Arabidopsis thaliana: one gene and its partners. The protein of the gene in region 4 interacts with the protein of the main gene of each other region in a pairwise test. Each region holds a gene or a part of one and is shown on either strand. Other genes may lie near its edges. The genes, in order: HAP8, AT1G01440, AT5G19960 and AT1G49850.

Region 1 (9,383 bases), on a different chromosome or scaffold from region 4:
GTGGCACTTGAATTCGAATCTGATTGATTAGTTTGGAGTTTGGACTATGGAAGTTAGTCAAGTTACATATGATTATGTGGAACTCGTACATGAAAACAAATTACTACTTCTCTTGGACAACTTATCAACAAATTAAAAATTAGATTTAAGTTTAGTGACAATGTTAGGAGATTTAACTAATTTTATTTCTTAGATGATAACTTAATGGCAAGAAAATGTGCACCAAGTTAATATATTTAAGTCATAACATCTCTTGTGCTCTTAAATATGATTAGACCAACGATTTAATTTTTATATTGCGTAATGGAGGACCAAAACCAACATTTAGTTTCTTGTTTAATGTTACGATGTTCACGCCAAAATAAAATAACCCTCTAAGTGGGCCCCGCTTTAAATAATACTATCAACATAAATTCTAAAAAATAATAACATGCATTCCGATTTTCTCTTTTTTCTTCTGTTTTTTTGGCCAACGCATTCCAATAACTCTATATTCTTTTTTTGATATAGTATAGTTCAAAGTGTATGTTGAGAGTCGTATGCCAGTATTAATTGATTTGTTTGTATAATGTGGTTTCTTATCACTTAGTATTATTTTTTCAACTATATATATATATATATATAGGTAGTTAAACTACATTACTGTTTACGGAAAGGATACAAGTTGTACAATGAATCCACATCTTAACATAGCATACATAAAAAAAAGAGTTTATATTTCAACTAAATTTTATAAATTTTGGATGAACCTAGTGATACATTAATATGACTTGTGTGGCATTATTACGAAAAGGATAAAAGTTTAACAACTAAATCATGTATCATGATTCATGAGTCGGCCCTTGACACAGTTGCAATGAGGTAGGTATATTGTTAGTTCCTTTTTTTTGGTTTAATGTTAAATTATATTGTTAGTTCTTCTTAATTATTATTTAATTAGAAGACCACATCTTATGAATTTCTTGTTATATTGTTTAAAATACGTTTCATTATTCTTTTTTTTCAAACTAATATATTTATTGCTTACGTCGACTAAAATTTTCTCTCAATTAGAAGAAGTTAGATGACAACCTAATATTCATTATTATTTTGTCGGCGCCTAATTTATATTAATATACAAAAATTTGATATATTTTGTTAAAATGAGAATTGTCAAGTTCAGATATGCAATTATGTGATAAGGAAAAAATTGGCCATCAAACTAAATATCAAAGTTTTTTTCGTCAATATCACTTTTCAATGTTGACCCAAAATTAAAAAAAAAAGCTTTTAAATATTAGTGTCTTTCAACTTTTCAACTAGTCGTTTTATCATATAAAAATTCTCAAAATTCTTTCTTTCATGATAATAACTTTTTCCAAACGGTCAAATGTTCTCACAAGTTGTAATTATTTTGGAGTTAGTGGCAATTTCAAAAATAAAAATTGTTGAATTTTAGGACCAATATTGCCTTTTTGATGCAGGAGTCTCTCTCTCAAAAACTAATAGTATAAACTGAAATTGTTGTGGATGGATACGTGACCATTTATTCTACACCAAGAGAGTAGTGCTCAAAATTTCAAATCTTGCAACAAAACTATAAGCTACGACTTACGAACCAAGCTACGTATTATCCATAAAGCTTTTTCGAATAATCTCTCTATAAACAGCATTTGAATTTGGATCTATAACATCATCGGAGTAACATTCTTCTAACTAATTGAATTACCAATGCATGAATCATTAATAGTATAGTTTGCAAATATTTGCTTATAAAACTTTTTATGGACCGGCGACAAATAATAATATACATACATATCTATGTATATAATCGTAAGTGTGTCTATATATTATACAGAAATGTGTATCAACTAACATGTAAAACAAAAGAAGACATGGAGTGAGAGAAGCATATGATAATAAGCAAATGATTTTGAAAATGCGCATGCAACATAGCCGTTGTGCTTGTACTCATCTCTACGCAAATATATTTCATTATTTTCACTAAAATATTCTCCCTATTTTTATTTAAATTTTCTTGTAACAATAATAAAACAGCTCATCTACACCAAATGCAACTATTTCTTTTTTTGTTGTTTTGTATAAAATCCTTGTCCATCTAATTTTGACATTGTTTACGCTCAATATCAATGTGTATAATAAAGTCTATATGTTTGCAATCTAAAATAAGGAATGAGTGAGGAAAAAAAAGATAATGAATTGCGTATACATAATAATGTATGTCATGACGGTGACTATGATCTTGACTACATCATATGATTTCAACCATACAAATATTTATATCTAAATAGAGAGAATTAAGCATCATGATGTTAACTCTTATATAATTTATTTTAAATTCGCTTTCATAACATTATAATTATAAGTTTTCATCCTTAAAACTTAAAACAAAAGTGGGGGTCCTTTTACCTTAGTGGAGTTCTCATATATATCATCCTATGAGGAGAGAATTTATCTCAGTCTCACCATTGTCTTTCTAAAGCAGCCTTTTTGAGATTCTCAACCTCTTTATTATAGAGAAACATGAGATCTTGAGGTGTCTAGCTTCTCAAGATCTCAAGCTTAAGGAAAATGCCTGGACTTTGATCTGAAATGCCATGGAATATTATTTAGTATCTTGGAGAGAAGTAGAGTTCTTGGTCTGAACTTTCATGGGATGTTGTAGAAGCTTGTATTGGTGTCGAAATAACCATTTCCGCTGTAAGGAGGATGAAGAAGATTAACAGAAGGAGACGCTTGCTGTGTCTTAGAAAGATCTAGAAACTGAGAGGTTGGTTTTGGACTTGATTCGTTGTGTGAAGGCTCTTCTCTTTGGTTAATAACCATCAAATCCTTTCCCATCAGCCGCAACACCGGGTTGGGAGTTGAAGGAACCGCAGGCACAGACTTACTCAGGAAATCCAAATCTTGTTGGATCATTTGTGGTGGTGGTGGTTGACAAAATGTTGTATCTTCAAGAGCTTTCTCCTTTCTTTGGCAACAACATGATTGATCATTGTCTCTGAATCTGGAAGGTCTCTTGTCAGTGGTGATGATGTTATGAAGACTTAATGTCTGTGTTTCAGGAGCTGCAAAGTTTGAAATTGCTGAAACAGGTGATTCCGATGAATTTCTGTCAGTGAGATCAAACTGATCTTGTGAAGAGTGGACTTGGCTTGTGATAACTGAAGAGTTTCCATGATGTTCAACTGCATCAGTTCCCATCATATCCCAAGGACTTGGTAAAAATGATCCCGGAGGTCCTGGAATAGGAATGGGATCAACCTCCATGAACGAGCTTTCTTGTTCCGCGGTTTCGCAACCAGTTTTCTCATAAACCATGCTTTCAAACTCAACATCTGCATCTTTAGTTTTGTCCAACATATCATCACCTCCTTTGTTATCACCAGTCTCTTCATAGCTTTCATAATCATTGTCTTCCCCGCTAAACGAAGGATTTGAGCTTAGCGCAACCTTATCTGTTTCTCCATCATCATCATCCCAACCATCATAATCTGACAGTTCACGTTCTTGAGTCATTTCAGACTCCCATTTCCCTATATCTTCATCTTCATTCTCAGAGAAATCCATTCGAGCTTTCTTGAACTTCATGACGCCTCTCGCCACAGGTGTTAAACATCTCAAGGGATTTGCTACAAATAAATCACTTTCAATGCTTCTGTTCCTAGACAAAGCCCAGCTCTTTCCAGAAACTTGGCTCTCCCCACAAACTCTCCATGACCCTATACTGTTTAAAGGAGAAGAAACTGTCTCGGACAAATCAGTACTCACATGACTTGGACTTCTTAACACAAGAGGATCTTCTGACAATGAATTCCAATTCTCAGATTCACAAATGTCTGTCCCATTCTTCTTTCCATGCCTTGAAAGAGAACGCTTTGTTAGCATCCGCTGGTTGAATATTCTACCTTGACCAGGACCTGAAGTTTCTGACCTCTCAAAGTCTTTACCTTCTTTAGAATATCCTCTTCGATACTCCGGTATCTGTTACAAAAATGATAAAGAAACTTGTGTTACTAATCTAACAACCAAATCAAGAACGGATCATGCAAAGGCATAATTACCTCTGAAGCATTGCTTTTACGAACAGTGAGTTTTCTGTTTTGAGGAACTAGTTTACGATGCTTGTAATGTTTCTCTCCCCAAAGTTTTTTCCTAAAGCTTTTGCCCCCTTTACCTTCACTAGAAGATTTCTTCTCACAAACTTCTTCATGCTCTCTTCTTGATGGATCAGAAGCTTTCTCGTTAAACTTAGATAAAATCCGCAGTTTTTGGCCCTTAGCATCAATGTAAACAGGTCCAATGCCAGCAGCATCTTCATCAATGCGAGCACGCGACACGCTTCGCTTCTTTACTTTGTTGGACACTTCAGGCTTATCATCAGAGACAACACGGTTAGAGTAGCTCGAAATCATAGCCCACTTTGTGCCATTTCTTTTATCAAGATCTTCTAATGTGCCTTCTTTCGCAGAAGCATAGATATCAGTCATGGTTTTAACTTTCAACCGTGGCTTAGTCTTAGGCCTGTTTGGCTTACGAATCGGCTGCTGCCCCGAGTCAACAGACAGACACTGATCAATGTGCGCATTTAAAGTAGTGTTAGAAGCAGACGAGAAGGTTTTGCAGATGGGACAAGTTCTCAAAGCCATAGAATCAGAAGCTGAAAAGAGGCTACTATGATCTTCTTTTCCACCACTATCCACACAAGCTCCAGGTTTCACTATCAACCCACACTTTTTTCTAGGATTCTTGTTAACCATAGCTACTTGTATTTTGGATTTCGAACCACTCGCCAACAAACCATTCTCAAATCCTTGTTTAGTAGTCTCTACTAATATCTGATAAGAGCCAAGTTTCTCTGACTTTCTCTTGTGACTTACCGCTTCCACATGAGTTATGTTTGGCTTCTTCACTTCAGGAGGCTGAATCGGTGGCAATGGATCAGTTAAGCCATGATTTAAACAAAGTTGCAAACTTGTTGAGGAAAAAGGCCAACTTTTCTTGATGTTCTTGGTCCGGTAACTAAATGCATAATCTCTGCAAAAAACATCACAAAAACCAAATCATCAACCATTAGTAGTACAACAACCAGACAAAACATAGGTACAGGCTTTTATAAAAAAAAAAACTTCTGAGAGACATGACACAACAAAGAAAAGTTTGTTCTTTGATGATACTGAGACTCGTTCAGATCATGGACCAACGGATCAAAGAATAGTCAAAACTCAATACCATTAAGCTCCACATAATCACAGAAGGTGAAAGAAAAATAAAAATAAAAAGCATTTTGTTTTGAATCTGACCCATTTAGCAAAAATGAATGGATGAGAAGAAAAGATGTATCAGTAATCAAACCTAACAAGAAAGCTAAAGACTTTAAGCCTCCTAAAACAATGGTGAAGAACAAGAAACTGTTGACTTCTTCTCCATAAAACCCCCAACAAAATCGGAGAAGAAGAAACTTTAAGATTACCTGATGGAGAAAGTTGAAAGATGTGATTGACCTAACTCATCACAAGAGTTGGTCAGATGTAAGAAACTAGAAGAAGATGATGGATTGTTATTAGAAGGGCTTCTTTGATCAGTGGATGATAAGAACATTTGATTCTTCTTCCACTGTTACTACTATTCACTTCTTCACTTTTATCAACCTTGTCGTCCCTGCTCTTCTGCATAACACCAGATCTTTATAATACCAAATCTGAGAGCCTATGAAACCTGAAAAAGAGTTTAAAGTTTAAGTCTTTAAAACCCAGAAACTTGAGAAGATCAAGTAAAAAAATATTATTTCATGTGAAGGTTAGAAAAAAAACAGAGAATAAAATTAGGATTAGTGGGTGAGATTTTCAAGTATATGGGTTTGATTGGTGAAGCAAATCACAAATAGGAACAATCAAAAGAGTTGGTTTTTAATTCTTCAAAGTTTTTCCCCTAAAAACAAGCATCAGTTTCTAATCTGATTGGAGTGTTATTTTATGCAAGGAATCATATGAAACTCAAAGACATCACAATAAGAAACTAATAGATCAAGACACAGAAGGTAAAAGAACATACATTTGGTGAGATTTAAACCAAAGTTCATTGAGATTTATTTTTTTTTCTAAAAAAAAAATGAACACATTGAAAGAAGATAATCTAACCCTTAAGAAAAACTATAATCTCTACTTATGGATGAACCAACTGGAACATGAGATTTAACAACAAATCTGAGAAGACAATATTAGGAATCCAAGAAACAAAACCCTTTTTTATAATGTTATGAACAGAAGAAATGGATCATAAAATATCAAAAACTTACAGAGGATTAAAGATATATACTTATAATAAGCATACCTATTTTTGAAGAGTATAAGTTTGGATCTTTGAAACTTAATAAAGATTCAAAGTAAAGTAAGAACAAGAAACTGTAAATCGGTGAGACAATACAAAGAAAGAAAAAACAAAGAAGTAGGAAGACGACGAAGAGAGAAGAAGAAGAGAGTTGCTAAAATAAAAGTTTCAGATAAAAATTATATCAGTAAATAGACAGAAACCTTTAGAGGATTTGATTATTTTCAGAAATAGTTTTTCTTGGCAGAAGAAAAGATTTTTGTTAGAGGGAGAGAGAGATGAACAAGAACCACGCACTAACACATCAAAGTGGTATCAGGTTCCCTAAGTATTAAATAAACATACTGTTTACTTATAAAATAAACTTAAAGTAAAGAAATGTTTAAATGAATTTTTTTTTTTTTTTCCTCGTCGCTGTTCCTTTCGTATGTCTGTAAGTGAGCTGTGTGAATTCCTAAATAGTTGTTTTCATTTTTCAAACCATTTTTTTAATGCTGCTAACTTTATTTAAATTTTGGGCTTTGAACTGAACGAGACAAGTAGAGGCTGCTGCTAACTTTTTGTATCGTGTTTTTTAAGAAGTGGTTTCTACTTTCTATCATTGTTTATACAAAATGTAATCATGTTTCGAATTTTTAATTTATGGTAAGGTAAGAAACTTTAGTTATAAAAAATAATTAAGAATTTATGTATGTTCTTGTTAATTAGTATAAATTTTTGTATTCTTCGAAACCCAAAGATATGAATTGTGGAGGGGCTAGAAATGCTTTTTTTTTTCCTATGGATGATTCGACCATTAATGAAAAGCAAATGAAATCTTGACTTAAATGAGGGTTGACTCACTTTAGTTTTGGGATAAAGTCTTTTGAAAAGTTTATCAAATTATGGGAAGTTTCCATAAGAACGATCGAGACGGTTTGTGAACAAATGATCGTTCGGTTCTATTATATGACCTTAATTAAGATTGTTTCTTCTGTGATATGGCTATGGAATAATAGATAGATGAATCTATGACCTTAGGCGATATAAGATCTTCTCGGAGAATATTAAGGTGGAGCATATAACATGCGTGGAACAAACCAATGACCATGATATCTTTGAGATGAGATATGAAGGCATCGGCCGGAAAAATTTCCAACGTTTAAAGTCATAGAATAAATGGTCGAAGAATTTGGAATCATGGAAATGAAAGAAAGTGATTTTGATTCAGAATCAATGGTTTTTATTGTCCTTTTTAAAGGTGAAAATAAATAAGAACATGATGTCTTGACTGTTTTTGAGAGCAAGCCAAATGTTTACGAAAAAAAGGATCCAATTGTTTGAAAAAGTTGGTCATGTATATGTTAGTGCATATAGAATTATGTAGGCACTCATAACCACTTTTTCTCAAAATTACAAGTTCTATAAAGTATAAACCATGAGATATCTCATATTTTGATCTTTTTAAAACGAATGTATCAACAGCCAGAATTATCGTTAAATCATCACCTTATTAAGAGAAATTAAGAAAAATCATAGAATTAAATAAGAGAGGATAGTGCCATTTTGTGGAAACGTGAAATTATGGTTTTAGTCAAACATCATTTTCCTCGTTAAGTCATATTCCATGCCCTATGGACTTATTGGAGGTCCCATAATTCCTTCGCTACACGACACTATTCTTTTTTTTTTTTTTTGGTGAAGTAATGAATGACAAATTGATAAGTAATGGATTCAAGCAAGACACCAAAACAAGAAAAACAAATTATAGCTTCTTAATCGCAATGATAAATCTAAAGAGCAGCCGTTTTTAGCTTTTGATTAATAAGTTCCATCAAATTAGATTGAGAAACAAGTGGTCGTGGTATAATATATTCGTGTCTAATTGGAATCAATTATAGATTTGTATGGTCTAGAATTTACTTATTTTAGTCTAGAGTGTCATATCATCCAAATTATTTTACAACATCAATATGTGATCAAAGACATATTTCAACATATAATTTAACTTTTGATTGAGAAGATTCGATAGATACAAAATATGCTAGAAATAATAGACTTATTGTAGATCCTATGTATAAAAACAAAGGAGTGTTAAAGAGAAAACATGAAATGTCCACATATACGTCAAATTATCAATGGCATGAACATGGTGATGGTGTGGTCTGTCTAACTTTTTATGATGCTTTTATTTATTAATGTGACGGAACATATTAATAATATAGTTTCTCTAGCATTGAATAATATATATGTTTTTATTCTTTTTATTATTCTTGGGAAACACCGTTTATTTTTTTTTATTAACGGGGAGCACCGATTTTTCCGTACGATTTCGAAGTGTGTTGGTCGAGAAAAATGAGTGAACCGAAATTAACGTGACAAGTAAATCTGATCTTGTTTTGTTTGGTTCGGTATGAATTTTGTTTTAGTTTGAAATGGTGTTTTTATTTTTTTGGTCAAATTTTGAAATAGTATTCATTCATTTGTTTCAATTCCATAAAAGTAGTAATTGGTCCACCACGATATGTATTCTTTCAAGTTTCAAACCTCATAGCAGAATTTTGTATTCAAATTCAAGTAAAATAGTACGCTCTTGTGTATACAATTATAATTTATACATGTCTATCAATTAAATTTCAAAATAACTAAAATCCATTCGTACAAGAATCATTACAATGCTGGAAGACGAAAATAACATCTTTAGAAATTATATCCTTGTTGTATAATGTATTCACTGATACACATGTTTTGACTTATTGATCTCTTTCAATTCAATGAAAGTTTCTTATACATATCACATGATCCAAACTTGTTGAACTAAATAGACTTTTATTTTGTAATTTCATAAAACGTAAGTATATTGTAATAAAAATGATTATTTGGAGTATTAAACAGATTCTTAAGAATTCGAATAAACCACCTTGCTCCAAGAAGCTGTAGTCTCTTAGCACTATCACGGAAACGTTCTGACTCAAACAGAGAGTTCGGTCTTGGAGATCAAGATACCATCACTATCAGCATATAGCCACTCTCCATCTCTAATCAAAGTTCCTCCAATATGAACCGGCACATTC
Region 2 (8,131 bases), about 18 Mb from region 4:
CCCTGATGGGTCTGGTACCCAATTCCCGATAAAGATATCACACTTGGTTGAAACTACAATTGTTCAAACACTTGGTGAGCACAAATCCAAAATAAGAATTTCTTCTCAAAACCCAATTTCCTCACGTTGCTTGGGTCTTACTCTATTGAATTTGAGACTAAAGTAGTGATGATCGGAAAAAGATGATCTCTTACCATTCTGTGAAGCAATGGTTGTGATGTTTGCTGGGGAATCGACAGAGGCTGAAGTTTGAGTGATGGCAGTGAGACCTGAAGGATCCGGCGGGAGAGATTCCGGCGAGGATCGAACGGTGGGAACCGGAGAGACGGTGGAATTAGTGATGAGAAAACGGTAAGCGAGACCGATCAAAAGGAAGAAAGCGACGGATTTGAGGAAAATTTGATTGCGTTGGTGAGAGGAACCAAATGGGGTTCCTTCAATCTTGATGCTCTTAGATATTAATCTCAATGAATCCATTGCAATTAGAGAGAAGAGCAGATCACTGAGTTTTTTCAAATGTTTCCCTAATTAGCTTTCTGGAGGTTTTTGGTTGGCGTTGAAAGCGAGGAACTTCATCATTATAAAAAAGACACAGCGGATCCTGTTTTTTTCTTTTTTTCTCAGAAGTACTAAAACATGTTAGTAATAATTAACTCGAGTTTTTTTGTTTGCATGTGTTTGAATTACTGTAATTGTTTCCACTTTGTTTATGTCGGTCGTGGCTTCATTTAATTTGTGGAGAGATATTCAGAAGAAGAAAATAATCTAATGATTAGGCATCCATAATTGTTTTTAAAGTTACAATTATACAACTGTAAAGCGCGAATCGTGTACTTGTTGTCTCTTTAAACATGATTAAGCCATTGCTATTACGGGTGACATGGTACCATTAATTATTTCCAACGTAGACAGGATTACAGTAATCTCTACATTTATGGAAATTAGGTGATTAGTTTGTATTTGTAGTGTCTATCAAACGAAACTCGATAAGGATGGTCCTACAGTATTTATTGATTAATTATCACTTATCAGGAGCAAAGATAGAGACTTGTTCTCTCTCTCTTTTTTCAACTAAAGACAGAGACCTCGCACTTAGATTTAATGGTTGAAACTTGTAACTAAAACTACTTGTGAGTATATAAATTAGTATCTAGTTTATGCTTTACACATCTAATTAGACGAAAAAATATATTTTGTCTTCTGATAACCGTGGTAATTTTCATGCTAATTTTGTTTTAAACGTTCTATCTAGAGAAAAAAAAAAAATCGTTCTATCTAGACGGTAGAATTAGTTCTCGGTGATTTAAAACATAAACTAATCTTTAGACATGAATTAGTCGTTTTAGACAGACTAGATTATCGACTCTGTTTTTTTATATGGAGTAGGGTACACCACGACCACGAGGCCCATTGTGAATAAATTATTCCATGGGCTTTAAATATTTGCTACGTGGACCCATCTTACTTGAAGTTGATTTTGGATCTACCATACCAGTGTGTTTTCTTTCTTGAAAACGATTTAACAAGTACACACAGCCTGGACAGATCTATAAATATATACATTTATCTTTTGTCACAAAATCAAACAAATATTATTTTATTTCCCAACAGGCAACAGGTTATCCACAATAAAAAATGATCAATTTACATAAACCAGATCACAAGATATAAAACCATACGGTTTATCTCTTAGACAAAAAAAAAAAAAGTAAGAGAAAGAATGGAACATTGTAAGAGAACCCCCAAAAAAGAAACTAAACCCAAAAACAGAATAGCAAATAAGTTTTGGGTCAGAATATAAGCAAAGATGTGTTATATATCAATCACAAAGAATAATTTACAAATCAGAGAGGTCAAAACAAAGCTGACGAAGCTTCACGAGACTAATGATCTTGGAACCCTCATGCCAAATCCATGCTTCACCTTGTCAACCCTGATTCAATTTTCAACCATAAAATTTCAGAATCAACTAAATGATTGATGTAAAAATTTGATTACATGGAATTGTGTTGTGCTTACGTTGGAGCTAATCTGCCAAGACTCTTAAGTTCTTCACCAGAGTCTCCATCAAGAACTCTTCCTGCTATATCAATGATGTAAGAACGGTTCTTGCCTCGAGGAAGACCTCTACTTGATAGTAACTCTAGGTCTCTCTCGTGAAGCTCTCTTCCGTTTACAAACACACTCGTGTTTCCTGCACCGCAGTTATCCGGCATTGGTCGACTAAACTCCTCTATAAATGGCTGCATCAACCAACAATTGTTTCCCATTTCCTCATCAAGTACCAATCAATACAAAGAATTATGAAACAGTGTACTGGAATTCAAAGCAATATAGAAGAGATGTGAAAGTTCTTACTGGTATTATACCGAGACAAGGGTTTCCCATCACTCCCCAGAATCCAGCACGGTAATCATACCTGGTCAGAATCATAACATAAAGATGGTTTCTTGAACGACTGATCAATTCTTTTGACGTAGATTTATCAAAACGTAACCCCAAACATACCAGTATTTGCCAGCTTGAACTGGCCCAGCTTGTTTCTCAGCGCTAATAACCAGATCTTCTGGTATCAGATACCCATTCACCCAAACCTCTAGCTGCTCGTTGTTTTGGTCGTTAGAACTGATATTATTTGTGACCTCTGCGAAACTGTGCTCACTACTCTGCTTTCGGTTTCTTGGTCGTCTCCCTTCTTTGCTGGCTTTTGAGATCCTTGAATCTTCAGACTCCTCGGTGTTAGTATAGTACTCATTATAAGAAACATCTGTCTCAGTAGCTACTGATTCTGATTTCAGGGAGTCTTGTTTCGTGTATGATTCTTGCTTATAGTACCCTAACTGCGCCATTCCGTAAGTGATTGCAGCTCGGTTTACATTAGAATACTCAAAGAGCTCAAGAAGATTGGACTTTTCCGGAGGAGGAGGAGGAGGAACCTTCGCGCCTTGGGCTCTGCTGCGAACAGACTTGACGACCTGTTTCCGCGGCTCACTAGAAATGCTTGACCTGTCTTCATCGTTTGAGTGATCACTAGGCGATACAGCATGGACAATTTTCGTTTCCTGGTGTATTCTTGGTTCTTCATCATTGAGTGGATAATCATCTACCACAGGGATTGGTGAGCTTCTATCTTCAACCTCTACAGAAACCCGGTTCGTAGTTTCCCCCAGGGCAGAAGATGAGAAAACAAGCTTCTTATCAACAACTCTGAACGTGATAACCTCAGAACAAGCACCACATTGCATCTTTTGTTGCCTTTCCTGACCAAGAAGCTTCTTCTTAGGCACATATAGCAGCTCAAAGCAACTGTGACAAGCAATAAAAGGCGCACCGCCTGCTAGAGGATGGCAACGACGTGAATCAGTATCAGACACAGCTTGTTGAACATACCCACGAGCAAAAGCACCACCCATTTCAGAATCAATTTCACTAGGCCACCTCGTGTGAACACCACCATGTGGACTAAAGGGTCCAACTTTCTCACCGTGGTGCAAAGCCGGGCTAAATGGGACATCACCATACCTACTTGGCGTACCCGGAAAGAATCTAGGGTCCTGTAACTGTGACTCAAGTATATCAGAGCCAATGTCTACATACTGTCCTTGAGGATAGGGTGGACGAGGCGGCATCTGATTAGGGTAATGACTTGGTCCTTGATAAAAGTTTTGAGGTATCCTATGCACTGGGAATCCATAAGGGTCTCTATAAGCTGGAACATGAGGTTGGTTACTCGCGGTAGGATACATTCCATAAGGAAATGGCTCAGGGTATGGATTGTAATAAGAAGGAGGAGGTCCATGATGGGCATGGAAACCCATTGGTGGCTGATCAACAACAGTAGCATTATTACCTCCACCACGGAGAAGATGATCTTTAATAGAATCAAGCTTTCTCAAAAGCTCGGCTTGTTGTTTATCAGTGTACTGAATTGGGTTGTTTCTGGTGGTTGTGTTCTTAGAAGAAGAAGAATCTGAATCAGTCTCTTCCTCCTTTCTCGAGCTCTTGACGAATCTCTGAGAACCAGGTCGTGAATTCGAATCGTCTAGGCGATTTCTCATCGGGCTAGTAGCGGATTCATTGAGATCCTCCTTAAAGCCTCTGTCTTCATCACTTCTTGAGGAACCAGTATCTGCTCCATAAACGTCACCGCTTGTCCTCATCGGAAAAAAAAAACAAAAATTCTCCGACGAAGACCAGCTTCTAGGGTTTTGCTTGTTTAAACTGCAACAGAAATAATAATCCTTGAATTCAAACAAAATCCGAAATTATCAACAAATTCTCTAATCGAATCTTCTCCAATCCGCGAATAGTAACATGGTAGAGCAAATCTTAAAATTTTCCTAGAGACTAGTTCAAGAGTTTCCATGATTGCACAGCATCCAAAACGGGAAAGACAAGACAGAGAGATATAGGAAAATCAAACGCACCTCGAAGAAGAGTGATTCCGGCGTCAGTATTATGAATATTTTTTGGGCAATTTCTTCGTCTCCGGTGAGAATCAAGCTTTTAGTCTCTTTGACGCAGCCATTTTTTAATATTAAAGGAGTTTTGTGAAAATTTCAGAGGAATTTATTTAAATAATCAAAAGACTTCGAACAATAGCTCTACTTTTCTTGCTTCGTTTTCCCGGGAATCTACCAACTAGGAACAATTAGATCGACAATGGAGTTTAAGAATTTTGACATATCTAGAAACTATGAGTCTTACCAGGTCAAGTTGACCAAGAGATAACGTGACGACCAAAAATAATGCAACAAAATAAAAATAGTAGTAACTAATGAATTGGTTGGATCGATTCGAATTTAACTGCATTTGAAAGGTGAAAGTTAAAGTACCAAATTAGGTCTTTGATATATTTGTGTCTCGCTGCTCCAAAACCAACAATACCTTGAACTACACACACTATTCATCATGGCCATGGTGGGTTTAGTTTATAACGATGAATGTGTACGTATTTTATACATGTATTGTATAATATTATCTTGTCAAAATAGATGGTGTGCCATGTTCCCAGACGTGCTCATAACTTGAATTCTTTTCATCATCATCATCTTTAAAAAGTTTAGAGATGTATTTTAGTTGTTGGAATTGTATTTTATATTAGGGTGACAATGACAAATGTTATAGCTGTAAAGTATTTTTTGTACAAATCAGCTGCTTAGTTTGTTTACTCCACTTGCTTATAATGTTATATTTGACAAATCTGTTGGTATTAAAATCATAATAACGTACTTATCACCAAAAAAAAAAAAGAAATCATAGCTTCATTCATCTAAAACTAGAGTGGGGACTTTTTGGTCATATCACAATCAATGACATAATAAAAGCGTCGGAGGATGGATGTGACGGAGTCGGCGGTGGCGGAGATATTGAAATTGACGAGAGACAGAGCCAAAGCTCCGAACCACGCCATGTCTCTAGTCCCCGGCGGAATCGCTGTTCCCCTTTTTTGTTAAGGTAATTTTCAGGCAGATTAGTCAAGGTTCCTTATTTTTGATGTTTTTATCCACATTCGAAGCCCAAAATTTGATTAGTGTAATTTGATGGTGTTTGATAGATTGTAGAAATAGTGGAGCAGGCCTAGTTTACTTCACTTCAGCGTTGAGCCTCTACAGTCTAGGCACATAATTTTGCCTCATATGATTTGTTTCCTTTAAGATAATATTGTAGCTAGTAGCTACTGAATCAATCAGTCACTAGCCTGAACAATATACGAGCCTAGTAGTATCTGTAGGAAACTTTGAATAAAGAAGAATTTTATCGTTTTCGATAGATATGTAGTGGAGTGTGTGTCACCACATACGAGTTAGTATGTCTTTTGACTTGTACAGCATTTTGAACTTGCTATTATGAACCTATTCTTTTTCCCTGCAGACTAGGAAAGCTCAGAGTCAGAGGCATGTCCAGAGTTTGATCGTCGTATCCTTGGGCTTATCAATATCAGCTGACTCTCAGAGTTTGCTCTCATGCTTTGCCCACCACAAGGGCTTAGTGGCGGATGCCTTGATCGTCCTCTCGGAGTTGTCCCTGAACAGAATCCAAAGGCTAGTGACACAAAACAAAAAAATTAGTACAAGTAACCAAGTTCATATTTGTTAGGGAGCCTATATATATATATATATATTGGCTGATGATAATCTCACCTGGTTTTTGAATTGGTTTCAGGCTAGAAGCTCTTTTCAGAAGATTTGAAACCTGCTTCTTGCTCATACCAACATCATTTGAGGAGCATGACAATCTTCTTTCCTTGGCATATGACAACTGCTCATCTGATCCTGCCCCACCCTCATCCTCGCTACACGAAGCCCATTCACTTCCTGATTCCGATGGTTCCCGGAGATTATCCTTTTCACACGTTTTTGCCCGTTCCACAACCCTATATGCAAACATTTGAAAAGGAACCTGTGAAACTTTGGTTAGCTCTGTAGATTCCCAAGAAAGCTTCTGCAATAGCTTTGTCTCGATCTCGCAGTAATCCACAGTAGGCGCAATGGACGGGTCTTGTTGGCTACTACTGTAACATTCCGGGTTCAAAGCTAGAAACCGTTTGATATACCGGAGAATTCTGCTTATCGATGAGAAAGTTGGACGCTGATTGGGATCAGCATGCCAGCATCGTTTTGTCAGGTTTGTTATGAACTTTGGTGAATTAAATGGAAAAAGCGGTCTCTCCCCGGCCCTAATGTTTCTACTCATCTTATCTCCTTGCAGGTGGCTATCTTCAAATGGTACTTTACCTGTCAGAAGCTCAAAGCTAACCATCCCAAAGCTATACACGTCAGATTTATCACTATACTTAAGGCTTCCTGCAGTTCCACTCTGTTCTTGCTCCTCTAGAACTTCTGGAGAATACCATATGAATGGAAAATTCTCATTCTGACTCGTCAAAGAAGCACTTTTACTAGAGAATCCCTTGACAGAATTCAACCCGAACCCAAAAATCTTCCCAAGCAGATACCCATCTCCGGATTGGTTACTTCTTGGTTTGACAAGAATGTTTGATGGATTCAACTCTCCGTGGTATATTCTCTTCGAGTGAAGATATTCCATACCCAAAGCTATCTGAAGCATCAGATCAACCGCGACCGGGAGGGAGAGAGTGTTCTTCTTCCTAGGACCACATACCTCTTTGATGTGCATTCCAAGGGTTTTCCTCATCAGTTCCATGACCAAGAAACACTCTTTCTTCTCCTCATCCGTGAATCCGCAGAGGTAATATACAATGTTTGGGTGTGAAAGAGATAGCAATGGAGTAATCTGAGGAAGCAAAGCATCAATATCCCCAAAGAAATGCCTAAGCGCAAAGCTCTCGCCTAACCAGGTAATCTCCTTGTACTGACTTCCATTCCCTAATCTTTTTTTCACTTGGTAATCTTTTGTGTTATCCAGAAGAGAAGAAGGAAATAGCTTGGGGCTCTCATTTCCATCTCCCAAATGCTTCAAAAGGAAATCAGCCATCTTCCGTTCATGTTTGCTCGAACCGGACTGCTTTTTCTCCTGAAGCTCCTTGATCAGAATCCAACGGTCCTCTGTCCAAGCACTCTCGAACCGGTTGCAGAAATCCTCGGTCACCAAATACTCTCTCCCAAACTTCCAGGTAAACATCTGAGAGTCATTCCATTGCTTCATATACTTGTTAGAATGCACCAACCTCTTCTTGCTCATCTCTTCTTCATCCCACCCTGAAACCTCACTCGCTGTCTCAATAGCCTCGACGATGATCGGTAGACAAGAGAGCAAGTTATGTATGTGAAGCTCTGTGCAATCTCTATTGCTATGCAACACAATAGCCTTAGCCCAAAACCCAAGTTTAGGCTCTAAAGACATTCTAACATAAGCCTCTCCTTCTCTAACCACCCATAGAAGCTCCCTTAAGGGCTGTTCTAGTATCTTCCATTTAGTGTTCTTCTCTTTGAAGCGTAGATTGGATCGCATCGACACAGAAATTGACTCGTAGGCTGCGGTGAAGAGGTCGAGTAATAGAGAGCATTGACGCTGGTTGATTTGAATGCTGTCCTTGAACACCATTAACGCTCTTATGCTTCCTAATACCTCTCCTATCTCTCGAAATTGATCCATTTCACACCTCTTCAATTGTACACAAGGCCTTCGGAATTTGTATTATAAATTA
Region 3 (7,572 bases), on a different chromosome or scaffold from region 4:
CTCCTAAAACTTTAACATTTTCCCTTACTGAAGTGACCTAATTACTCTTTCAATAATCATCTTTGTCAAAACAACTAAAATATTCATATATATATCCACGTCGATTTGACAATACGGCTTACCAAGAGAAGAAGGAGAAACGTGGAATTCCACTAGAGCCATGCGACAAGAAGAACACATTTGCTTATGCTATTTACTGCTACTGGTTTGCTATAAGATGTACGAAACATGCCTTGAAGAATATATATGAATAATGGATAATGCCTTAATATTACTATAATGAAATTTATATGAGAAGACAAACATATAGAGTATCCTAAATGGGGTTGTTCTTAAGATCGTCACGTATAATGATGATTTGAGTGTTGGTTGGCTAACTTGGCTTTACAAGCAACGATAGGTCAATGGATGATGTTCACATCTTAATCAAATAAAAAACATTCGGCTGACGAGTAATGGACGGTGGAGATGATGGTTGTGTCAACCTTAATAATTTAACTGTCTATTCTTTTCTCTCTTTTTATAACATTTTCACTGTAGCCAAGTATCTTTATATTAGTAAAGAACAAAGCAAACATTACAAAAAGAAATAGTTAATTTGTCAACTTCATCTACTAAAATATTTTAACTATAGCCAAGTACTATCTAGGACTTCTTCTCTAACAAAGCTTTGAGACTTTACTTCCACACTTTGTATGGTGATTGTTTGGTTTCAGTTGCAAGTTGAAAACATAATTATTTAGTTCATGTTCGTATGATAATAATACATCCCGAATGAAATGAATACATACTTGCCAAAACAAGTAAATATGTACCAAATTAGTGTAGCTCGACTAGAAAAAAACTCGGAAAGTCACAAAGAGAAGACATATCAAAGCTACACTTTAGACAAAACAGATCATACATGCGGGTGACCGTGTTACGGATACCCGTGTCCCAATCCTTCATCAGCACCTGCCACGCCTTCTCTAGCTGCTGAATTAACAAGCAACTGCGAGAAAAGAATAGACACTTGTTTCGATTAGGCCTAATCTTTATGCAATGACAATCACTAGAATAAGAAAATTTAGAAACTAACCTGGAGTTCTTGTTCACAGTCTTTCAGGTTGTCCGTGCACTCTCTAACCCTTGAATATGATTTATGTAGCTACCACAAACATAGACCAAATGTCAACAAACATTACCTAACAAAACCGACTTTTAGAACAGGAATCGAACCTATGCTTACCTTTGCCAATTCTTTTCGGCGTTGTGAAACCAGTTTCTTTTCATTGATCAACAAATCTTCTAATCTCTGTCTTAACCATTTCAAATGAGAACAAATCTGTAGTCAAACATTTTGGGGTTGTAAGATATAGAAGACACATACCTTAGATTTCTTCTGTAGCTCTGAGCACACTACTTCTTTTACTTCCAGTCTCTCTTCCATCACCATCACCTTAAAAATGAAAGTAGCCCATAAATTCATTGGATCACTCGTGATTATGTAAAATAAATCTACCAACAGCCTATATGCACAGATAAACTACCTCATACCTCATCTCGAAGCGCCTCACGCATCTTAATCAGCGCTTCCAGATCTTCTTTCACCTGTAATAGAAGTTGCAAGTTATAAAATGAATTTATGCAAACACTGCATGGCTAAGAAAATCATCTTTACCTGATGATCTCCACTTGAATTAGAGAAGTGATCTCTGCCACGTCCACCATCAAGAATGGTACTGTCAATCCAACAAGAACACACAAAGATTTAGACATGTTAACAAAACCAAAGCAAGCCAAAACATTCCTCAAACGGTAACATGCACAAAGCCAACAAGAGCAAGAAACTTCCTCAAATCCATTACACTAAAATCGATGATAATTTATCAAACTTAACCACAACAGGTGTGGATGATTTGGTTTAGCGGCGTGACTAAGACTAGCATCCCAGTCTTTGACTCATTCAAACTAGCAGACCAATTTTACAAGAACAACGAATGTCACAATTCAAAGAAACAGGAGGAACACTAAAAGTTTGAAATCCAATGTGAAGTCTACAACTGCATTGTTTTCAACAAAAGTTTACCTATCTTCTCTCTTTGTTTCTTGGCTCCTTCCTTCGTGAGCACTGGTCCCATTTATTCCCCTACCATTATCCACATAAGACCTATCCCCACGCCAATCTCCTTCATCACCATCGAAAACTCTTTCCTTATAACCATTTCTATCTACCATATCATGATCATTCCTCCTCTCAAAATCATGTGAATGCTCATAAGCTCTTTCCTTCTCTATGTAGCGATGATCTTTTCTCCTATCCTGAGACCTATCCCGTTCTCGAGACCTATCACTATACCGATCCCTCTCATAATTACCATCACTTCTCCTATCAGGACTTCTATCCCAACCACCGTGTGGTTGTAACCGCCCCGGACCTGGATTCATTCTTCCACCTCTTGTTGTCACATCATTCACACGCACTGCACGCCCACCAATACTCTGATTACGAGCTCAATACCGTCAACAATATAAACACACCACGTACATGATAATATAAACAAAAGAACAAAACTTTAGCAGTAGAACCATACTTTTCCATCCATATCTTCGATAGCATCATCAGCCGATCGACGGTTCGAAAATGTAACAAAGCCATAGCATTTCCCTCTTACACTCCGGTCATTGACAATCTGAATTCTCAAATAGTACACATATATGTCAATATACACTCTGACCAGCTCACATGTAAGATATATCAACTAGCAATTGGATGTTATCTAAATCACTTGGTCAGTCTTTCTACATAGATATCTACTAAAGCTTATCATCTATAAGATCATACAATAAGATTGGAACTTCAAAATCACGAAACGAATTTGAATCATCCTAATTAAGAAACTTAAATCAGGATATTGAAAAGAGAAAATTAACCTTAACGGTGAGGACGGAGCCGTAAATGGAGAAGACGCGACGGACAGCCTCCTCGGTGATGTCGTAAGGGAGGCCGCCGACGTAGACGGAGTTACCATCGTCCATCGTCATAACTCTTTATCGACTTTGGTCGGAATTCAACAAGGAAAGCAAAGTACTTTAGAAGTCGTACTGTCAGAAATCTTCGTGTTACATATGGGCCATTAGGCCCACTAAAACGAAACCGGAAAATACCTTTTTTATAGGACTTTTTCGAATTACTTTTCTAGTTTTTCTGTTAAAAATGTTCTTCTTTATTGATCAAAACGATTTTATGCAAAAAGTATCATTAGTGAATAGTAATTAGTTTAACTCGATATTGACCATAACAAAATCAATTCTCCAAATTAAAATCTCGTCTTCCCCAATTGGTTTAGCGCGACAAGAGCATCAACGCAATGGTGGGAACATCAAGCTCCTCCGCCGGCGACCACACCCACACCGTCGTGATAAATGCCCTAACTAGTCGGGGCTGGTGCTTCAGAGACGTCGAATACTTGAAATCCCTGGTCACTGAAATCTCTTCCTTGATCGGCGGCGGCAATAAAACAGGCGCCATCGTGGAGTCAGTGGAGGCGGAGCTGCTTAACATGGATATTAAGTTAATCGGAGGTAAATCCCTCCCGGACCCGACCGAGTTACGCAGGTGTTCTCATCTTCAAGGCCCCAAAGTTCTCCAGGTACATTGCTTCAATCAGCTAAAGTCAGTAACAATTGGCATTAGGTCTTCGCTAATTCAATGAGTCACTCTCACTGATATACTTAGATTTAAACTAGTTTCAGAATGCTCAATTGTTGCAGTTGATTCAAGCTGTTGAGTGTTAATTTGTTTTCTTTTGTGAGCATAGATAAGTTATGTTAGGGATGTTACAAGAAGTAGCGCAGAGGAATTTGTGGGAAGTTCCACTGGTAAACGAGTGCTAAAATTCGCTCTGACTGACGGGAAGACCGAAATATCCGCGCTTGAGTACTCTCATATACCAACGATTAACAATGATGTCACTCCTGGTACTAAGGTAGTTCCATTTCCATATCAATCTAATTCAAATTCTCCTTTACTATGTTTCTGAAAGTCTCATGCAAATATAATAGTTTGGATTAAGATCTAAATCAATAGAAAGCTAGTGCACATATGTGTTTGTCATGCATCAGAGGGTGTCATATGCAAATCATAAATCATTTTGTATTGTTGATATTTTGTACTGTCTCGTTGGCAGGTACGTCTAGAAAATAAGGCTGTGATACGTGATGGTCTAGTATGTTTGACTCCAAAAGAGGTGACTGTCTTGGGCGGTTATGTGCAATCACTCACTGAAGAATGGCAGATGAAGAAAAAATACGCTAGTTTGGCTCGATCTCAGGAAAGCAAAGCTGGTGATGGCCCTCCTCCATTTGAGGAGTTGAAGATTCGAACAGGTTCCCATCACCGCGGTAAGCAGGATTTTCTTATTCTCATCATTTTCATTCAGTTTTCTTCTAGTAATTTGTTGCATATTTAGTTCACTTTGAAACGGTTGGCCAATCTTTGCTACCAAATAAAATATCTACCATTTTCTATTTCATGTTGATAGTGTACATAAATATGCATTGACTGCAGCAAGGACTTATTCCATCCAAATGCACTTTAGCATAAACATATTAGTAATTTGACCCGAGCTCCAAAATCCCAATATATCCGTTTATGTAACCTATGACGACTCATGTAGAGGTCTGATCTATGTTTTCCCTTGGCTTTGTGTCCAACATTGGCGCTGTTGGGTCTCCATTGTTTCAATACTTAAACTTGAGTGAATGCATTTTCATTGTGGTAAAATTTATGATCTATTGAATTGTTCTTCCTTTGTGTGGGCTTACATAAAGTATTGTGATGGAAGTTTGGCCAATGCATCAAAAATTTAACTTGTCAGCATATGTTTGTTGGTTGACAGATTACAACAAGACGACTTCTAGAAACAATGTACCTATTGCTGCAGAAAGCTCTGTAAAACATGCCGGTGGAGAAAAAGGTGAAAGTAGTGAAGTTGATGGGAACAAAAGAGGCACAAATAAGAATATACAGAGGAATCCTGCAGATTCTGATCCGAAAATATCTGTCGAAGTTGAAAATCAGGAAAAGCGAAGCAGTTCCGATACACGACCTAAACAAGGTTTGCCATCATCTTTTTCCCTCATCGTCTCAAAAGCTCATTGTACAGCAAAGAACATTAAGGAGCGTTAAATTAGTTTGGCATTTTCATCTGGCAATTGCGTTGAAACCTTAGATGAGATATCAGATATCTATCGTTCATCCCTATACGCCAAATAACATCTCCCATGTTGCAGTGGTGGAAGCTGTTCCTTTACAGAACCAAGCGGCTGCGCAGATACTTCTTGAGAAGATGAAACATTCTAGTTCAAATGATAGGCAATACCAAGGAAGAAGAGGTAGGGGTAGAGGTAGAGGTAGAGGGAGGGGGAGAGAAGAAGAAGACTCTGCAGTATTTACACTAGATGAGTGGGAAAAGAGGAATACTGGTGGGGGGGCTCTTCCAACAGCTAACCATCCAAGCGACACTACCCGCGATGAAGATCTTGCATGGCAGCTTCAGAATCAGTTTGATCTGGAAGACTCTTATGTGAGTCACAACAACCTTTATTATCCCTATGACCCGTCTTCCATATGCTCATTATTTTGATTAGCACACTTTTTATCTGTCTTTCAATGGCTTATTACTTGTGTTTTGGGATCATCCATACAGAAATGGTTACAATAAGAGCTTTGTTATTGTAATTTTCTGTATAGGGGCAGGAGATGCCTGGAGCCGGGGCAGCGGATATCAGAATGAATATGTTTGATTACGGAAGAACAGAAGATAACTTCGGCCATGGAAGGGGAAGAGGAGGAGGAAGAGGAAGGGGTAGAGGGCGAGGACATAGACGGGGAAGAGGACGTGTGTAGATTGTAATGAAATCATCCAGGCTTGTGGTAATTAAACAAAACTTCATCATTTACATCTGTATATCTTTATGTATGTTTTAGAGTAAACATGTATCTTATTACATATTTTAGAGCATTATTACTCATGTATGCTTTGGTTCTCACAGGTGTGGCAGCGCTGAATCTGTACATGTTTGTTTTAGGGTGATTCAGAATTTCAGATTTTCGTGAGAGGTTTTGAATTTGAACATAAAGGCTGCTAAGTCATTTATCTTTCTTTGTTGCTATAGTAATTCTTTGCGAAAAGATGTTGAAGTTCACCAGTAGCTTCCTCAACAACTCATCTGAAGTGAGACACTCTTAAAATGAAGTTTACATTACAACAAAGTTATATCTAAAACACCATTTGTGTACACAGCATTGTGGATATTGACCATCATACTCTCGCAGGACCCCATATGTTGTTTCCTTTTTTTCTGTAGTGATTTGCATTGGTTGATGCACGAGGGAGAAACGTATATATTATTGACGCCTTCTAAAGACGAACAATGATCCTTTAGATCCCAATCCCAACCTAAGTTTCTCATCAACGTATGTGATCCGAAGCTTCACTTCGCTTTCGAACCCGTATTTGAACTCCAAAGATCCAACCTTGATTTCCGGAGGCTCAAATATCACCTGCACCCACTCACTGTCCAACGCTTTCAGCTTCCCTACAGATAAGATCACACAAAGGTGAGAAGATTAAACACGGGAGAAGATGAGACTGAATGCATATGTGAATTTTGCAATAGTCACCTGTCAAGGAGACGTCTCCGTCTAGAAAACCAAAAGCATTAATGGAAACTTTGTTCCTAACGATATCAGGAGCATCGATGGCTTGTATCATCTCTTTCGTTTTGAAGAAGAGACGGCCTATCACGCTTCTGTAGCCTCCACCAGGAGAGGTTGGTCTAGAACAGTACACCACTTCCCAATCTGCACCAAATCCCACAAGTTCACATATTGATCCAAGGAAGAAGCAATGGCAGCTAGGTTCTTACACTTTTACCTCCAAAAATGAGAGGATTTTTGACAGGCTCCTTGACACAGTACTTTTGAAGCTCTCCGGCCACTTGTGCCACCTCCTTGTGCTGCTCAGGGCTTAGCGTCACACCTCCATCACTATTCGCAACCTATTCACAATTCACAAACTTTCAAATAAATGCGCCAAACTAAGTCAGATCCTCAAGATCGGTGTATACAAATCAGAAATCGTTACACAACCTTAGAGAGGAGGGTAGAAATGAGATCATCAGGTCCAGTACGGAGCTCAACGTTGGGAGCTGAAACAGAACTGACGACGAGTCCTAATCTTCTACTCCTACTCCGTAACACCTTGTACGGGATTGAATATTGAAGAGGGAGATTCAAACGTCTCGAGGAATGGATCTGAGTCCGTGGTTCGGAGAATGACGACGCGATTGTAAGAGAAGAAGCAGTCGCAGCCATTGTTGCTCTGGAGAGAGTAAGAGAGAGAAGCTCAGATAGAAAGGGAGAGAGAGAGGGAATACGGATATTGTGATTTAAGTGGTGCCACGTCATAGTAGAAATCGATACTGGGGCCCATAGCTCAATCGGTGATTGGATTCTCTCCCGCGTTATCTCGTCTGTCCCATTCCGCAAATCTAATAAATGGCCCACGACTACATGGTCTAGATTAG
Region 4 (6,434 bases):
CTCATTGTTACATTTCTAAATTTTTAGGGTTTTGGGAAGTAAAAACACAAACTTTATGTTTTTAATCCGATAAAAATCGTAAATTTATGATTCCAGATCTCTCTGCTCCACATTTTCGATTTAATTTCTTGTTTATGATTTTTTTTTCCTTTTTTGGTTTTTAGTTAAAAATCTTATTTTTGGATGATTTATGGATTGGTTGGTGGAATATTGTCATTATCTGGTGGGGGTTTGATTCATGTAATACTCAGAGATTAGTTACTCAAACAAAATTCGATTTTTGTTTCTATTATTGTGTAAATTTTGTTTCTCTCTGGTGATATGTTGTTTGCAGGAAACATCATCTGCACAGTACATTTTGCAACAGTACACGGCGGCTTGTGGTGGCCACAAGTTACATAACGCCATTAAGAACGCTTATGCTATGGGTAAGTTAAAGATGATAACTTCAGAGCTTGAAACTCCTACAGGAACTGTTAGAAACCGAAACTCTACAAAGTCGGAAACTGGTGGGTTTGTTCTCTGGCAGATGAATCCTGATATGTGGTACGTTGAGCTCTCTGTTGGTGGTAGTAAAGTTCGTGCTGGCTGTAATGGGAAGCTTGTTTGGCGACATACTCCTTGGCTTGGTTCTCACACTGCTAAAGGACCCGTCAGGCCTCTTCGTCGTGCACTTCAGGTTAATCCCCAAACACTAAAACTTACATGGTTTTGAAATCAATCCAATGCTGATTCTGTTATGTTAAATGATGTTTCAGGGACTTGATCCGAGAACTACTGCTACTATGTTTGCTGAATCGAAATGTGTTGGAGAGAGGAAGGTGAATGGTGAAGATTGTTTCATTTTGAAGCTATGTACTGATCCTGAAACGCTAAGGGCGAGGAGTGAAGGACCAGCAGAGATTGTAAGACACATCCTTTTCGGTTACTTCAGCCAAAGAACAGGACTTCTAGCTCAAATTGAGGATTCGCAGTTGACTCGAATCCAATCTAACGATGGTGATGCTGTTTACTGGGAGACCACGATCAATTCGTCTCTAGACGACTACAAACAGGTGGAAGGGATCATGATTGCTCACTCTGGACGCTCTGTTGTTACCCTCTTCAGATTTGGGGAAGTTGCTATGAGCCACACTAGGACAAAGATGGAGGAAAGATGGACCATTGAAGAAGTCGCTTTCAATGTTCCTGGTCTGTCTCTAGATTGCTTTATCCCACCCGCTGATCTTCGGTCTGGTTCGTTAACTGAAGCCTGCGAGTACTCGGGTCAAGAGGAGAAAGGGAAGAGCTCACTAGCGTTGGCTTCAACAACAGCTCATAGAGCTAAAGTTGCAGCCTTGGAGAAAGGAAGCTTCGACAATGATCCTGTTTGGCATATTGATGTCTGAGTATGGTAGGGAAGATGCAATCTGTGCATAGTAATCCTAATAACAAGACTCGAGCCTTGAAATGAGACTAACTAACCCCTTTGTTTAACAGCTCAAATATTAGGAGTTTGATTACACGATTGGTTTATTTAAGTTTCATTTCTCTTATTTTCTTTGTCGCCTTCAATATTATTGAGTAAGGTGATGGGATTTATTTGCAGCAAGAGAAGGAGAATTGCTGCTTAAATGTTGAATTTGTCTCATATTTTTCTAGCAAGTCAAAATTTCAATCTATGGAAAGTTAATTGTTAGCAAGTGAAGCTCTCTTATCTTCTTCAGCTTTCGTTGATTTTAAACTGAACTAAACCGTTTTAAGTTGGTTGAATTTGAATCATATAGGTTTTAATGTTGTCGAAGACATGAAATTGATGTGATAGAAAAAGAAAGGCAGGACATTCTTAATGTATGTATTGTTAATTTTAGTGGTTAGAGAGTGAGGTGTGTTAGGTACCCAATAGAGAAAGTGATGGTTAGGAGCAAATAAATGGGATTTTATGAAAGGAATTGAAGATGATGATCATGAATTTATGAAGAAAGGGGTCCATTTTGATATGCTTTTGTAGCAAAAAATAGCTTTTTGTGCACAACTGTCTTCTCCTTTTAGCCTTAACTTTGTTTTAAAGTTCTCTTTTTTTTGGCATAACTTTCTTTTAAAGTTGTTATAAATTGATTGAATCTTTTGATATTAGACTTCAATATATGTAACGTACATGGATGTATGATAATGACAACGTTTTGGAAGAGGAAGCAAAGCTTTAAAGTAGTATCACCAGATTGAGACAATCAAAATTTCTGAAAATGAAAACGTTAAGTTGTTGAGCTATAACCTCAAAGCATAACCAAATTGTCGGATCAAGATTTGGATTTGGAAAAAGTCTCTTTCATATAACCAACAAGACATTAAAAGAGAGATCACAGTGAATAAAACTAAAAAGATTCACACCATACGATATCAACGCTTGAACTGCCTAATGGCACAACAAAAACCATTACAAACATGTGACAGTAAAAAAAACACTCATGGGCGACAAAACTCAGAAGATCGTTTTAAGGATGTCTATAGCAAGAAGAAGAGAAGATGTGTATGGCTATGGCCTAATGGTTAGGCAAAGATTCTATTTACAAGTTTCTATTCCTTTGCTATGGCTCTACGGCAACAAGGACAATCTCCACAAGCTCTAAGCCAAGGGTTTAAGCAAGAAGAATGGAAACTATGGGTACAGGGTAAGGATATTAGCATGTCACCTTTAGTGAAACTCTCTAAACATATGCTACAATCTCTCATCTCGGATTTAACCTCGGCTGAGCTAAAAGTTTGCCGGTGTAAACAGTTAATAGCATCTTGAGTAAGACCTTGTGGTTTCTTGTTGCATTCATAGGTCACTTGAAGCCCTGCTAGTTGAAAAATTGGATCTCCATCTATAGAATGAAATGAAGACTCCCTTTGATCATCCAATGAAACTCTGTTGCTTCGACTGAATCAGAAAAACAAAGTTGAAACAAATCCGTAACCAAATTTTGAAAAAGAGGCTTCAAAGAAGATATTAAAGAATACACAAAGCAACAATAATCCACAAAAACTGATTTTTACACTAAGTCTTGACCAATCCTCACAAGAAACAAGAGCAAAATCAAAACATGCTTCAAAGAATCTTGATCAGACAAAAGCAATTATTTTTAAAGAAATCTAAAATCAGACTAGAGTGCAGATCAAGTAAAGCTGTAAAATTTATCAGTGGGTTAAGCACAGACCTGTTACTAGACAAAGAAACACCTCTCAATCTTTCGAAAAGTCTATCCCTTGCAAGCAGAACAGCTCCAGGAAGCCTCTCGGATCCATTTAGGTTAACAAAGCTGCTACTCTGAGTTTCAGTATCAGTACTATCCGTATTTAAATACTGACTAGTGCCTTGAACATCACGAATAGGTCTACTACGTTCCTGAATCTGTAAATTAGGGGAGATTTTAGTAAAAAGGACCAAATTCAGACAACTACTGAAATTAGTAATTACTAATTTGGTGGAAAGTAACTAACCGGATGGTGAAAGAAGCGTCGGAGACGGGGAGTGGGTCGCCGGAGAGGATCACAGCCGTCGGAATCATGACGCTGATTATGATGATGGACGCCGTGACGGCGATGATGATGGTGTGAGTGGTGTCGATAGGAAGAAGTGTCGGATTCTAAAGCCGGGTCGGATCGACCCGGACGTGATCTTCGTGTAGAGAAGAGTTCCGATGCGCTCGTCATGCACCGATCAATCACCAAATTCGTTTATATGATCTGAAACTAAGTGCAGCGAGTCAGAGACGATGAGATAAGGAGGACAGAGAGAGAGAAGAGAGAAAATTGCGAGGAAAAAGTAAAGGGAAACTGCAGTGAAAAGGTGACGTCATCTCCCACTTGCTGTCGGAGCTAAGACAAAACATCTTTAAAAACGGTGTCGCTGTAATAAAAAACTAAGGGGAAAAGCCCAATTATTGGGCCTATCCAAGTAAAGTCCACTAATACATAGGTCCCAAGAAAACGGGGAGAGCATTATGAAACACTAAACTGAATAAATGGAGAAATTGACGGAAAAAAAGGGAAAAAATGTTGTTTAATATACCAACTTTCAAAAAGTGGCCATTTAAACTATGAACTCCATATATGGCCAAATAAAACTTAGTAAAAGCGTTGATCGGCCATTTTATATATTCCAAAACATTGATCCGGCCAAAAACCCTGCGACGTTAGCAGTCGTTAATAGAGTCGATAATAGGCGTTAGCAGACGTTAATTAATCCGTTTAAACACAAACGACGTCGTTTTGTGTTTAATCGAAACCAACAAAATTCCCAATTCGATTCTCAATCCCTAAAATCCCCAATTCCAATTCTCATGCCCTAAAATTCCCAAATTCAAAAATCTTCAAAAGCCTCTCCATTTTTGTTCGTTTGAAGATTTTTGTGTTTAAACGGATTAATTAACGCCTGCTAACGCCTGTTATCGACTCTGTTAACGACTGCTAACGTCGCAGGATTTTTGGCCTGGTCAACGTTTTGAGATGTATAAAATGGTCGGTCAACGCTTTTACTAAGTTTTATTTGGCCATATATGGAGTTCATGGTTTAAATGGCCACTTTTTGAAAGTTGGTGTATTAAACAACATTTTTCCCGAAAAAAAATGAATAAATGGAGAAACTATTGATTAGTTAGTTGCTTAACTCAAATCTAATTGTTAATGTACTAGTTGCAGTATACAAGTTGGTTCTAGATAAAATTTTCCTCTTTTAATTTTGTTTTTTTATTGCCACTTTGTTAATTAACTCATTTATTAGTTGTTATTTAGTTGCTTTCACCCTTTATCAAACGATTGGAGCATAGTTTCACATAAATTTCCGATTTGGTTAAACAAACTCTCCGATTTAGTTCATCGAATTCGCAGATGTGAGCACCGTCGGTGTAGATGATGATGATCACGGCGGATAAGAGACGAGCTTCTTTGGTTTTCTTCTACTTAATGATCTAGATGACGGTTGATGATGATCGATTCGTAATCATCATCGGATTTTACGAGAGAAAAGAGAAAAAAAATACACGGGAAAAAAAATTAATGTTCTTTCCTCACATTACCGAACCTATGAAACATGATAGGTATGGGCCTCTTTCCAAACAAAAAATGTTCTTAGCTAAAGTGAGTTCCATCCACTTCATCACATTTTTTCTTTAAATGTTGGCTTTTTTCTAAGGGCTTCAGACCACCGTTAACGATAGTTGTTTAATAGAATTCTTAACAATTAAAAAAATAAAAATAATTAAAAGTTAAAAAAAGAGAGAGAATGAGAAATTCCAAAAACTCTTAGCTAAGAGACGATATCACAAACCCAAAGACACGTTCATCTTTATTATTGGTCTATCTATATAAAATATTTAAAATATAACTGTAAAATTAAAATATTATTATTTTTATCCTTTTATAAATTTTCATAGCATACTGGCGTTGAGGATGGTCTCACCTCTCTAGAGCTCATCTAGAATCACCGTTGGAGGTTGTCTGAGTTTCCTAAGAAAGCGGGAGATCATTATAATTATGAAACACTAAAATTTTATAAATGGAGCAATTATTGATTAGTTAGTTTACTTAACTCAAATGTCAAATCTAATAGTCTATGTACTAGTAGATGCAGTATAAAAAGTTGGTTCTAGATAAAATTTCCCTCTTTTAATTCGTTTTTTTATTGCCACTTTGTTAATTAACTCATTTCTGGTTGTTATTGACTTAGTTTCACCCTTTATTAAAACTCTAGAGAGTCTGACAGGTATTTAATACTTAATCTAAACTATACTATCATTTATCGATCGATGACCAACTCTTAGAAGGCATTTAACATTTACACCCAAAAAAAAAACTCTTAGAAGGCCGAAAGGTTATTGATTATTACATATACTTTTTCACAACTATAAATACGGAGATCACAATAGGACTCATCACCCAATAATATAACTAATCTAGTAAATAGACAAAGAAAACAACATGGCTGATTCTAAGATGAAGCTCCACTGTGGCTTTATCTGGGGTAATTCGGCAGCTCTCTTTTGTATCAATGAGAAAGGTCTTGACTTTGAGCTTGTCTTCGTAGATTGGCTTGCTGGTGAAGCCAAAACCAAAACTTTTCTCTCTACTCTCAACGTATAATCTCTCACACTTAACTCTTAACTGTTTGCATCTACCAAATTTATTTAACTTCATATGTGTTTGAATGAACAATCATTCTCTTCTTTTCTTGCAGCCATTTGGTGAAGTCCCGGTTCTTGAAGATGGAGATCTCAAACTTTTCGGTACTATAATCTTGTTTCTTATTCTGGAATTTTATTTGAAGTCTTGGATTTGAATGTGGAGGTTTTGCAAAAGGTTACATAATTATTACCTTTTCATAAGTTTCTTTGTTACCATATTTTTGCGAAATTTTTATAGTGTTTTGATTATGCATATAGAACCAAAGGCGATCACGCGATACCTAGCCGAGC

The links.
Region 1: the proteins of AT1G49850 (region 4) and HAP8 interact in a two-hybrid assay, tested with the Arabidopsis thaliana proteins (one large-scale study listed by BioGRID).
Region 2: the proteins of AT1G49850 (region 4) and AT1G01440 interact in a two-hybrid assay, tested with the Arabidopsis thaliana proteins (one large-scale study listed by BioGRID).
Region 3: the proteins of AT1G49850 (region 4) and AT5G19960 interact in a two-hybrid assay, tested with the Arabidopsis thaliana proteins (one large-scale study listed by BioGRID).

Annotation. Positions count from the first base shown.
Region 1 is NC_003076.8:22,766,269-22,775,651, forward strand, and holds HAP8 (hapless 8), read right to left. Parts: upstream 6,754-9,383; 5' UTR 6,534-6,753; exon of another isoform or gene 6,334-6,533; intron 5,719-6,333; 5' UTR 5,602-5,718; coding exon 5,474-5,601; intron 5,038-5,473; coding exon 4,065-5,037; intron 3,985-4,064; coding exon 2,650-3,984; 3' UTR 2,185-2,649; downstream 1-2,184. Other genes in the region: AT5G56260 (Ribonuclease E inhibitor RraA/Dimethylmenaquinone methyltransferase), read right to left, coding at 9,281-9,383.
Region 2 is NC_003070.9:158,060-166,190, forward strand, and holds AT1G01440 (hypothetical protein (DUF3133)), read right to left. Parts: upstream 4,895-8,131; 5' UTR 4,428-4,894; intron 4,222-4,427; 5' UTR 4,161-4,221; coding exon 2,509-4,160; intron 2,420-2,508; coding exon 2,359-2,419; intron 2,244-2,358; coding exon 2,020-2,243; intron 1,934-2,019; coding exon 1,876-1,933; 3' UTR 1,569-1,875; downstream 1-1,568. Other genes in the region: TBL25 (TRICHOME BIREFRINGENCE-LIKE 25), read right to left, coding at 1-53, 195-477; AT1G01450 (Protein kinase superfamily protein), read right to left, coding at 6,046-7,458.
Region 3 is NC_003076.8:6,739,481-6,747,052, reverse strand, and holds AT5G19960 (RNA-binding (RRM/RBD/RNP motifs) family protein), read right to left. Parts: upstream 3,176-7,572; 5' UTR 3,025-3,175; coding exon 2,914-3,024; intron 2,673-2,913; coding exon 2,574-2,672; intron 2,537-2,573; exon of another isoform or gene 2,482-2,536; coding exon 2,069-2,481; intron 1,722-2,068; coding exon 1,661-1,721; intron 1,591-1,660; coding exon 1,537-1,590; intron 1,439-1,536; coding exon 1,370-1,438; intron 1,295-1,369; coding exon 1,229-1,294; intron 1,148-1,228; coding exon 1,079-1,147; intron 992-1,078; coding exon 920-991; 3' UTR 672-919; downstream 1-671. Other genes in the region: AT5G19950 (tudor domain protein (DUF1767)), read left to right, coding at 3,351-3,632, 3,801-3,968, 4,170-4,383, 4,881-5,099, 5,275-5,567, 5,735-5,890; AT5G19940 (Plastid-lipid associated protein PAP / fibrillin family protein), read right to left, coding at 6,392-6,582, 6,668-6,847, 6,921-7,044, 7,136-7,360.
Region 4 is NC_003070.9:18,452,770-18,459,203, forward strand, and holds AT1G49850 (RING/U-box superfamily protein), read right to left. Parts: upstream 3,851-6,434; 5' UTR 3,676-3,850; coding exon 3,463-3,675; intron 3,374-3,462; coding exon 3,180-3,373; intron 2,903-3,179; coding exon 2,557-2,902; 3' UTR 2,075-2,556; downstream 1-2,074. Other genes in the region: AT1G49840 (glutamyl-tRNA (Gln) amidotransferase subunit A (DUF620)), read left to right, coding at 335-679, 759-1,388; GSTF14 (glutathione S-transferase (class phi) 14), read left to right, coding at 5,941-6,096, 6,197-6,245, 6,402-6,434. UniProt on the Arabidopsis thaliana protein: Probable E3 ubiquitin-protein ligase that may possess E3 ubiquitin ligase activity in vitro.